Linked DNA regions of Caenorhabditis elegans. The protein of the gene in region 2 interacts with the protein of the main gene of each other region in a biochemical or structural test. Each region holds a gene or a part of one and is shown on either strand. Other genes may lie near its edges. The genes, in order: unc-78 and cap-1.

What was found.
Region 1: the proteins of cap-1 (region 2) and unc-78 form a complex in vitro, tested with the Caenorhabditis elegans proteins (one study listed by BioGRID).

What each region holds. Positions count from the first base shown.
Region 1 is NC_003284.9:3,407,945-3,413,217, reverse strand, and holds unc-78 (Actin-interacting protein 1), read left to right. Parts: upstream 1-1,602; 5' UTR 1,603-1,603; coding exon 1,604-1,676; intron 1,677-2,071; coding exon 2,072-2,550; intron 2,551-2,978; coding exon 2,979-3,471; intron 3,472-3,513; coding exon 3,514-4,010; exon of another isoform or gene 4,011-4,058; coding exon 4,059-4,245; intron 4,246-4,292; coding exon 4,293-4,399; 3' UTR 4,400-4,544; downstream 4,545-5,273. Other genes in the region: putative oxidoreductase dhs-27, read left to right, coding at 1-70, 117-242; vit-5 (Vitellogenin-5), read right to left, coding at 4,663-4,922, 4,975-5,110, 5,156-5,273. UniProt on the Caenorhabditis elegans protein: Induces disassembly of actin filaments in conjunction with ADF/cofilin family proteins. Regulator of actin organization in myofibrils.
Region 2 is NC_003282.8:7,227,621-7,231,979, forward strand, and holds cap-1 (F-actin-capping protein subunit alpha), read right to left. Parts: upstream 2,604-4,359; 5' UTR 2,603-2,603; coding exon 2,522-2,602; intron 2,410-2,521; coding exon 2,284-2,409; intron 2,230-2,283; coding exon 1,789-2,229; intron 1,625-1,788; coding exon 1,460-1,624; intron 1,119-1,459; coding exon 1,083-1,118; 3' UTR 802-1,082; downstream 1-801. Other genes in the region: D2024.5 (Mid2 domain-containing protein), read right to left, coding at 76-184, 234-359, 404-518, 563-686; D2024.4 (DUF19 domain-containing protein), read left to right, coding at 3,628-3,733, 3,792-3,987, 4,287-4,359. UniProt on the Caenorhabditis elegans protein: F-actin-capping proteins bind in a Ca(2+)-independent manner to the fast growing ends of actin filaments (barbed end) thereby blocking the exchange of subunits at these ends.

The DNA.
Region 1 (5,273 bases), on a different chromosome or scaffold from region 2:
CAAACAAGCTGTCAGAATTATCGGGACTAATTGGGAAATCACAACGGGCTGTGTGCAACATGATGTTCAGGTAAAATCAATGGTGTCTTAGTGGTCTGAATATTGCAAAATTTCAGGTTGCCCTTGGAACATTGTTCTCCTTTTGGTTTTTCAAAGTACTTTTCGTCCCTGTTGTTATGCTCGGAGTTCATAAGCATCGTGTTGCCTCTTATCAAGCGAAGAACTCGAGAAAGAATAATTAGAGTTTTTATCATTTCACGTTTATCCATTTTCGTTCATTTTTATCATGATTTTTTTTTATTGAATGCTATTTTTCAGATAAAAAAGTTTTCGTGTGAACTTAATTTTTTAGAATCTTTTTTTTAAAGTTGATCACCGATTGAAGCTTTTTTTGCCAGAAAAAACATTTCAAATTTTTCCCACTGGCCATACTCCACAGAATTGCTGCACACACTTGAATCCTGCAAATATGTTGGCTCTAGAGAAAGAAAAACAGTTTTAAAAAATTAAATATACAAATTTTTATGATCTACTTGTTTTTCGAATATTCCTATTGAAACATCTCGAGAAGCCAAGTTGTCAGCAATTTTTTATAAGCTTTTAGTATGTAGTTTGGATTGTAGTACTCTTTATTCAAAAATACTTTTGGACTTAAATAATAACATGTCTTTTTTATATTAATGAATATATTGATATTGAAAATTTAGCTCTTCCGGTGACTCACGGGGAATCATATTCTAGTTTGCACAAATTCATACGAGAAAAGTAGAAAAGGGAGGAAAAAAATCGTTTTTTGTTGCGATAAGGCTATAGTTCGCTTAGTCAGCCCCTCCTTAACGTGTATGCAACATGAATCACATGTGCTTGGTGAGTTGTCTCATCGAGAAAATGTTTCATTTCTCATTCGAAAAGTTATTGCAAAACCCGACCAATTTTCTTCTTATTTTGTTTTGTTTCGACATGTTGTTCGAGAAAAAAAAACGTGTTTTTCACCCAAAGCTTCCCCCGCAGGTTTATCGATTTTTCCAGTGACGGCTAATAATAAAAAAAGCGGTCGATGAGCAACGAGGAGTTTACAGCCGATCCTCTGTTTGCGTGAACCTCCGTTTCTCGATTGTCGAGTGATGATGGGAATCGCCGAGTCGCAGATTGAAAAACACGTCTTGCTGTCGAATGCTTTCCACCCGGCGAGCCGGCGGGCCCCGTTTTCTATTGACCTCCTCTTTCTCACAACAATAACACTTATTCACTTTTTTCACGTCACAAATAACTATCGCATTGTTCTTCGTTATCAACAAAAATAGATCGACCAAATTAATAATTTTTTCTTAGAAAAAAAAAAGAAAATTTCAATTATAAAATTCCGTCGAAAAACTTATATATTTCAAGCAAAGAAAACAGTTGTTCAATCTTTGCGGCCTAGGAAACCCCATCTCGGCCGCGCGCACTGTTTGTTAGTGACCAGTGACCGCTGTCCTTCCGCACCCTCATTAGTTCCTCACCCGCTGTCGTCACTATTTCTTCTCAATGCTCTCGTTTGATTTTATTGATTTTCTTCCTTCGATCTTTTGGATTCCTGCTCAATTTTTACAATTTTTGCAGAATGTCGGAATTCTCTCAAACCGCATTGTTCCCGTCTTTGCCTCGCACTGCTAGAGGAACTGCCGTAGTTCTCGGTGAGTTTTTATATTTTTAATTGCACGGTGATTTTACTATTTAATACTAGAAATTGAAGCCGTATGGCTGCATTATATTTTAATATGGCTGCAATACTAATTTTCAGATAAATTGTTTCTTTAAAATAATTAGTCTTCACTTGCAAAAGTAGAAAATTCTGAAAATTCATATTGCGCAACATATTTAAAGTATTTCGTAGCGAAAACCACATTGATCCTTTAAAAAACTACTGTAGCGCTTGTTGTTACTGTAGTTTTTTTGTCAATTGTGCGAAAAATAGTAAAAATCATTGATGAAATATTTAAGTATTAGTGAGACGCTTTGGCAACAGAAAAAGTGCAAAGTGAAACGGTTAATAGGAAAGCTAAATCACGTTTTACAAAAATACTTCCAGGCAACACCCCCGCTGGAGACAAGATTCAATATTGTAACGGAACATCGGTTTATACTGTACCAGTTGGAAGCCTAACCGACACCGAAATCTACACTGAGCATTCTCACCAAACGACTGTCGCCAAGACAAGCCCAAGTGGTTATTATTGTGCTTCTGGTGATGTTCATGGAAATGTTCGTATCTGGGACACAACTCAAACCACCCACATTCTGAAAACTACTATTCCGGTGTTCTCTGGACCAGTGAAGGATATTTCGTGGGATAGCGAAAGTAAGAGAATTGCCGCCGTTGGAGAAGGCAGAGAACGTTTCGGTCATGTTTTCTTGTTTGACACTGGAACGTCTAATGGAAATCTTACCGGACAAGCTCGCGCTATGAACAGCGTCGACTTCAAGCCATCACGCCCATTCCGCATTATCTCTGGATCTGATGATAATACAGTGGCGATTTTTGAAGGACCACCATTCAAATTTAAAAGTGTAAGTGATTGTAATATTGGATTAGTTTTTGAAAATTCTCCACAAAGGTTCCGCTTAAAGTATTTCGAAATACTACATGTTATTCTATTAGGTTTGTGTTAAGTTGTATTTTTTAATTCCAAAAAAGATAATTTCGCGTGAGCTTTTCGCTGAAGTTTCATGCTTTTTATTTGATAAAACATTAAAAAAAACACTGAGCGAACTTTTTTTTCAGAAACTATCAACAAATAATGTAGAAAAAAACCTGAACGTATGCGTGAATTTTTAATACTACCGGAATGCAAACATCTTTTCAGTAGCTTATTGTCAGTGCAACTCTAACAGAGATTTAATTTTGATAGAAGGAAACTTGTTTTAAATGACTCGAGTGTTCCAAATACGTTTTCAGACAAAAAACCAGTTTCAAATTTATTTTCCAATTTTTCCAGACTTTCGGAGAACATACGAAATTCGTCCACTCTGTGCGCTACAACCCTGATGGCTCTCTGTTCGCCTCGACTGGAGGAGATGGAACCATTGTGTTATACAACGGAGTTGATGGAACAAAAACCGGAGTCTTTGAAGATGACTCTTTGAAAAATGTCGCTCATTCTGGATCTGTGTTTGGCCTTACCTGGAGCCCGGATGGTACAAAAATCGCATCGGCTTCTGCTGATAAGACCATTAAAATTTGGAATGTGGCTACATTAAAGGTTGAAAAGACTATTCCCGTTGGAACTAGAATTGAAGATCAACAACTTGGAATCATTTGGACCAAGCAGGCTCTTGTGTCTATCTCTGCTAATGGATTTATCAATTTTGTCAATCCAGAATTGGGAAGTATCGATCAGGTTAGATACGGACACAACAAGGCGATTACTGCACTTAGCAGCAGCGCTGATGGAAAAACTCTTTTCAGTGCTGATGCTGAAGGACATATTAGTGAGTAGTTTCAGTGCTTCGAAATTTAAAACTTGTTTTCAGACTCCTGGGATATTTCCACAGGAATATCAAACCGCGTGTTTCCGGATGTTCACGCCACAATGATCACCGGAATCAAGACAACCAGCAAGGGTGATTTGTTCACCGTCAGTTGGGATGATCATCTGAAGGTTGTTCCTGCCGGAGGTTCTGGAGTCGATTCTTCCAAAGCTGTTGCCAACAAATTATCTTCGCAACCTCTCGGTCTCGCCGTTTCCGCAGATGGAGATATTGCAGTTGCTGCTTGCTATAAGCATATTGCAATTTACTCTCATGGAAAGCTCACGGAAGTACCAATTAGCTACAATTCTTCCTGTGTGGCATTATCGAACGATAAGCAATTTGTTGCTGTTGGTGGACAAGACTCGAAGGTCCATGTGTACAAACTCTCTGGAGCAAGTGTCTCTGAAGTTAAAACAATTGTCCATCCTGCTGAAATCACATCTGTCGCATTTTCGAATAATGGAGCTTTCCTCGTGGCAACCGATCAATCACGAAAGGTTAGTTTTTGAAAAAAAATCATTTCTATTATAGATTTCAAAATTCAGGTTATCCCGTACTCTGTTGCGAACAACTTCGAGCTAGCTCACACAAACTCCTGGACTTTCCATACCGCCAAGGTTGCATGTGTTTCCTGGTCACCGGACAATGTCCGTTTGGCGACCGGTTCCTTGGATAACAGCGTTATTGTATGGAACATGAACAAACCATCTGATCATCCGATCATCATTAAAGGTAAATATTTCTCTATTAATTTAACACATTTAACAACATTTTTATAGGTGCTCATGCTATGTCGTCTGTCAATTCGGTAATTTGGCTCAACGAAACTACAATTGTGTCGGCCGGACAAGATTCGAATATCAAGTTCTGGAATGTACCTTTTTAAGTCGAGAAGCTTTTTGATTGCCCTCTAAGTATCCTTAAAATTATATTGATTTTCATAATTATCACTAATTTTCGTGTTTACTGCAAGCACTATCATCTCCTTCGAAGCCTTAAATACACGCGTAAATAAAAACTATTGGTGCAAAGCTGTGTTTCGATTGACATCCTTACAACATGTGTATTTGTTTTCTAGAAGTGATGAGAAAAAAAATCATTCTAGTGAAAATGCTTTATTTAATAGAAAATTAATAAAACATATGAAATCTAATAGGCAACGCAGGCGGTTGGGATCTTGACAGACTCAACGAAGGAGACTGGGAAATCGACCAACTCGGCAACAGTTTGCTCACGAGCTTCCTTCAAGAAACGACGAGCGTTCTTGCTGTGGCGTGGCATGCAAGTGAAACGGATCTTCTTGTTGGAAGTCTTCTCGGATTCGAGTCCACGGCGGCACTCAGAGACTGGCTCGATGGAGAAGCAGACGCGGTTGGAGAACTCCTTGATGAGGGTCTTCTTGACGAGTTCTGAAAAATATGTATTTTGTTAAAACTACACATCATTCAGCCTTAGACTAACCCTTCTCAGTTTCCTTCTCATCGTAGTTGCTCTCGTAGTCGGAGCTGCTCTCGTAGTCGGACTTCTTCTCTTCTCTGTTCCATTTGTTTCTGTAGTTCTTCTTCTCGGAGATGCGGTCGTTCTCAACTTCGCATTCCTGAAAATGAAATTTACATTCAGTTCATTGAAAAAATCTGATTACCTCATTCTTGAGAAGGTAAGACCGGTGGAATTCCTCAACATCCTCAGTTTCGTAGTTGTCAGCGGTCATGAACTCATTGTCTCTCTCACCGTCATTGTTTCCGCAAAGTCCGCAAAGT
Region 2 (4,359 bases):
AGTTTTTAAGTTTCCGTTTAATTAATAATTTTCGCAATAATATCAATTGAAGACTATAAATCTAAAAGAACGTACTGTAGCTTCGGAATCATCGAAGAACTGTCGTTCCCAATCGAGACGATCGGCTGTCGGGTGATCCAGTGAGTTCAGCGGTTGTCTTTGATTGTTCAGTGAGCGATTGTTTCTTAAAGTTTCAAAATGTGAAATAATTAAAATAATAATTGCTTATATACCCTCCACGGCCCATGGGAAGATAAGTGGCTGAAGAATTTTGGCCCATTCCGCCACTAGAAGCCGAAGATGCGCTTTGTCTTGAAGCAGAAATTCTCCATCGTGCTGATCCGATTAATTCAGCTCTCCTAAAATTGAGAATAAATGTTTTATAAATCGAAAGGATACTCACTTTTTCTTATGGCTTATCACAATTTTCGCAATGAGAGCACATGCTACTCCAAAAACTACCAAGGAAATGAAGGCGATCGACGTTGCAGTTGTATGATCACTTGGAGGAAAAGATGCTGAAAAAATGTGTAATCTTAGAAATATGTTTCTGAAAGCTTACTAGTCAATGGAATTTCCGTCGTGGTAGTTGTAGTCGTGCTGGTTGATACCGTACTTGTCGATGATACCAAATCTGACAAGTTGCTCAATAAAGTCGCATTGAGAACCTCAGTGAGGTTTTGCATCTGAATTTTCTTCAATTAAACGAACACATATTAACTATTTAGCTAATTCGTTTAAATATATATCAAAAGGTGCGCGACCTTTCTAAAATCAGAAAATATCTCGAAAATTCTTAATCACACACACACAAATAATATATAATTGAAAAATGAATCATACCATACAATAAAATTAGATACATAGATGATACAAATTATCAAATCATGAAAAAAGAAGCAGCGGAGCAAACGAAGGGTATTATGTTGTAAAGCACGTCTAGTGTCCGGCCAAAGGATAAAGGAAAGTGGGAGAAATAAAGGTCGAAATTGGAGGATTTTTTGGTTTTTGGAGAGGATTAGGAAGATGATGAAGACCAGCAGACGAACTTGAAGCAAAGCGATGTGATAACGATTTTGTGATTACTTCATTTCCTGACCAATTCGGTAGGTTTGAGCCTGAATTAAAATTAATTTATTCTTTTTATTTTATCAATTCTGAAAATTTTGACATGCCTTTGTAGAGGCGCACAGATTTATTATGGTAGCCCTTGCTTAATCTTTTTCAAAGAAATTACTTCGCATTTAGAGAATTTTGTCGGCTTCATCTCTTGTTTCTGTTAAAATTCTTTTTAAATTAGTTTTCAAATCACAATTATTTTTTATTGTGTCTGCATGACAAGGGATATAAAACTGATTCGAAGCATTTGTTAACAGAAAAATAAGAAACACCGAGACCCATCTGAATAAATCTGTGCACTTTTCCGAAGGCATTCCGAAATATTGTGAAATTACGATACCTTATTCCAGTCCATCTTAGCGCGAGTAACTGGCAATTGGCGACGAAGTGCTTTGAATGTGGTATCAGACATATTAGCGTAATTCTCTTGTACAGCATTCTGATATATAGTCTCTTCCTCGGAAATGGCATGAATTATTTCTTTGGCGGTTTTGTCGAAGTCAGCCTGAAAATAGGGCTTTATATGCCAATTTTTAATTCGATTAAATAGCTCTATGAAAAATATAATTTAAATGATTCCTGTGATTTTATTTTGTTCTTCACAATTTTATGAAAAACTTTTTTTTCTATCCTTCTAAATTGGATCAATTTATGGAAAAAAAAATTTACCGAAACATTGACTTTAAGAACCGGCTCTTTCTCAGAGAACAACTGCACGTTTCCGTCTTCGTAATAATGAACTTGCGACAAAATTTTTCCTTTCATCTCCTGAGATCCTGATTTACCATCGCCAACCGGCACATTCCACTCCGAACGCCATCTTCCGTTACAGAAATTTTTTGGCTGGAATTGATGAGATTCGATGCAAATCGTGAAAACTCCGTTTCGAGCAAAAACCACTCCCGTTCCACTTTTCGCGTAATGATCATCAATATATATATCGAGTTGAGTTTGAAGAGCTTGACGCCATTGTTCGGTTATTCCAGACTCGGCTGGATGTGGTTGAAGATCTGCGGCCTCTTTACGGACGTGATCGTATTTGAAACTTTTCTTTGAAACTTCATCGTAGAAACGTCCATTACCCAAATCATTGTATGGAGTGATCAGAGTCTGAAGAAAATAATTAAATATTTGAAGAAAGTTTAAAAAATGAAAATAGTATACCTGCTTGGCAACACCATCCAACTTTACTGGCACAAATTGTCCAACGTTATATTGAGCGATAGCATTAACACATTTGTTCTTCAGAAGATCATCATTTTCCAAAAGCATCCGAACCGAATTGAATACCTGAATGGAAAGGTAAATTGACAATTGAAGTGAATTGCGAAATATAAATTTTTTGATGACTATAATATCAAGCTTGAACGAGCAATTCTCCTAAAAATCGACAAAAAATTACCTCGTTGAACTCGCCGGGTGGCGCGTGTTTAATGAAATCCGAAGCAATGCGGACCTTTTCGGCGTCACTGATCTCCGACATTCTGAACGAGAAAGAGTTATGCTTATAAACATTTTAAAAATATATTTCTATCAAATAACTAAAAAGAAATAAAGATTGACAAAATAAAAGTGGTGATTCATTGAATAAAAGAGTGAACAAAAATGAATCACAAACAGAGAAATGAGCGCATCGATTTTAGCCGTAGAGCGCGCTTGCGTTTTCGAGAGACACCACACGGAAAGTGGATAGAGATTACTTGAGATATTTAGTTTGAAATGTTTTTTATTCTTCAGCGAAAAAGAAAGCACACTAAAGCAGTTATAAAAAATGAGTAATAAATAGTCTATAAAATAAAAAGCATTTGAACCATGTTCAGAATTCAATTACATTATTTACACTTAAAATTTGTGAAAAATTCGCTGGAAGAGAGAATATGTACTAGATGTGAGAGCATTTCTAGAGAAGAAAATCTTTGAAATTTGAGAGCATGTCAATGAAAATTTGAAAGAAAATTATGTCGAAAAGCCAAGAATAACCTGTGCTACGAGAAATATTAATTATTTGCGTCTGAAATATAATTCGAGAAACACGAAATTTTGGAAGTGGTACGGTAGATTTCAGTCCAAGAAAAAAAACCGAAATTTGAACATTGCAATCTTTCAATCAATGCGACTTATATAGAAACGTTGTTCATAAAACAAACAATGCATTTTTTTCGGGAATTCCCTTCCTCTGCTTCTTAAACTGCAAAATCAAATTGATGAACCAGAAAACGCTAAGCTTCAAACTTGAAATAATAGTTCAGAATTGATCAATTAAATTGTTTAATCTGAATAAAAAACTTTGGATCTAAAAAATTCCGGTTAAATGTTTTAAAAACGTTGTTCATAATGCAAACAATTCCACTCTTTTTTCGGAAAGTGTTCGCTTCCTCTTCTTCTAATAATAGTCCGGCAACAACGGATTTGCTATATTCTAGTTGTTCGAATAACTAGGTCAAGATGATCACGATCAACTGAAAATGCTATAAAAGAAAATTGTTAGACAATTCAGAATATTCAAAGATGTTATTCAGATTCCTCATACTACTCCTAACTGTTTTAGCACTGGCAACATGCCGAAAAGTTCACATTCAAGTTAGAGAAAATGTCACACAAAGTTGTCCGAATGGTTTGTTCTTTTAAATAAAAATTAAATGGTTTTACAATTAATTTACAACCAAGTTTAGTGGATTCCGATGTTATTGACGAGAGCTCGTTGAAGATCACAATGAAAATGTTGAAGAATGATAATCCAGAGGAAGAAGATGAAGAAAAAGATGAAGTAACAATTACTGATATTAATGGAGAAACTCGCCAAATTGATTTCCCTGGATGCTATAGAGTTAAAGTCAGCTTTAAGATGCTGAGACCTATCGAGAATCCGTAAGTTAGAGCTGAAACTTAAGACTGGAGTTCATTCGTAAAATTGAATCCTGCAAATCTCTTAAAATCGTAATAGATTCCGTATTTTTCCCTATTAAACTTGCACCTCTTTACACCTCTTCGACGGGGGTTTCCCGGGTTTTTTGGTTTCATGAAAAGTGCGAACTGAACACACTTATAACATAGTTTTCTTTACTTTATTAGTGAAAACATTTTTTTTCGATAAACTAAACCGTCAAAGTAAAGCAATGCCGATAACAGTCTAATAGAAAAAAAAAATGGTACATTCTTTCTTCTAGATACATTGAAGCATTTATGCAACTTGGCCAAAACGTTCCCTGCAAATCAGAAGACGCGATTCAAAATCTTCGT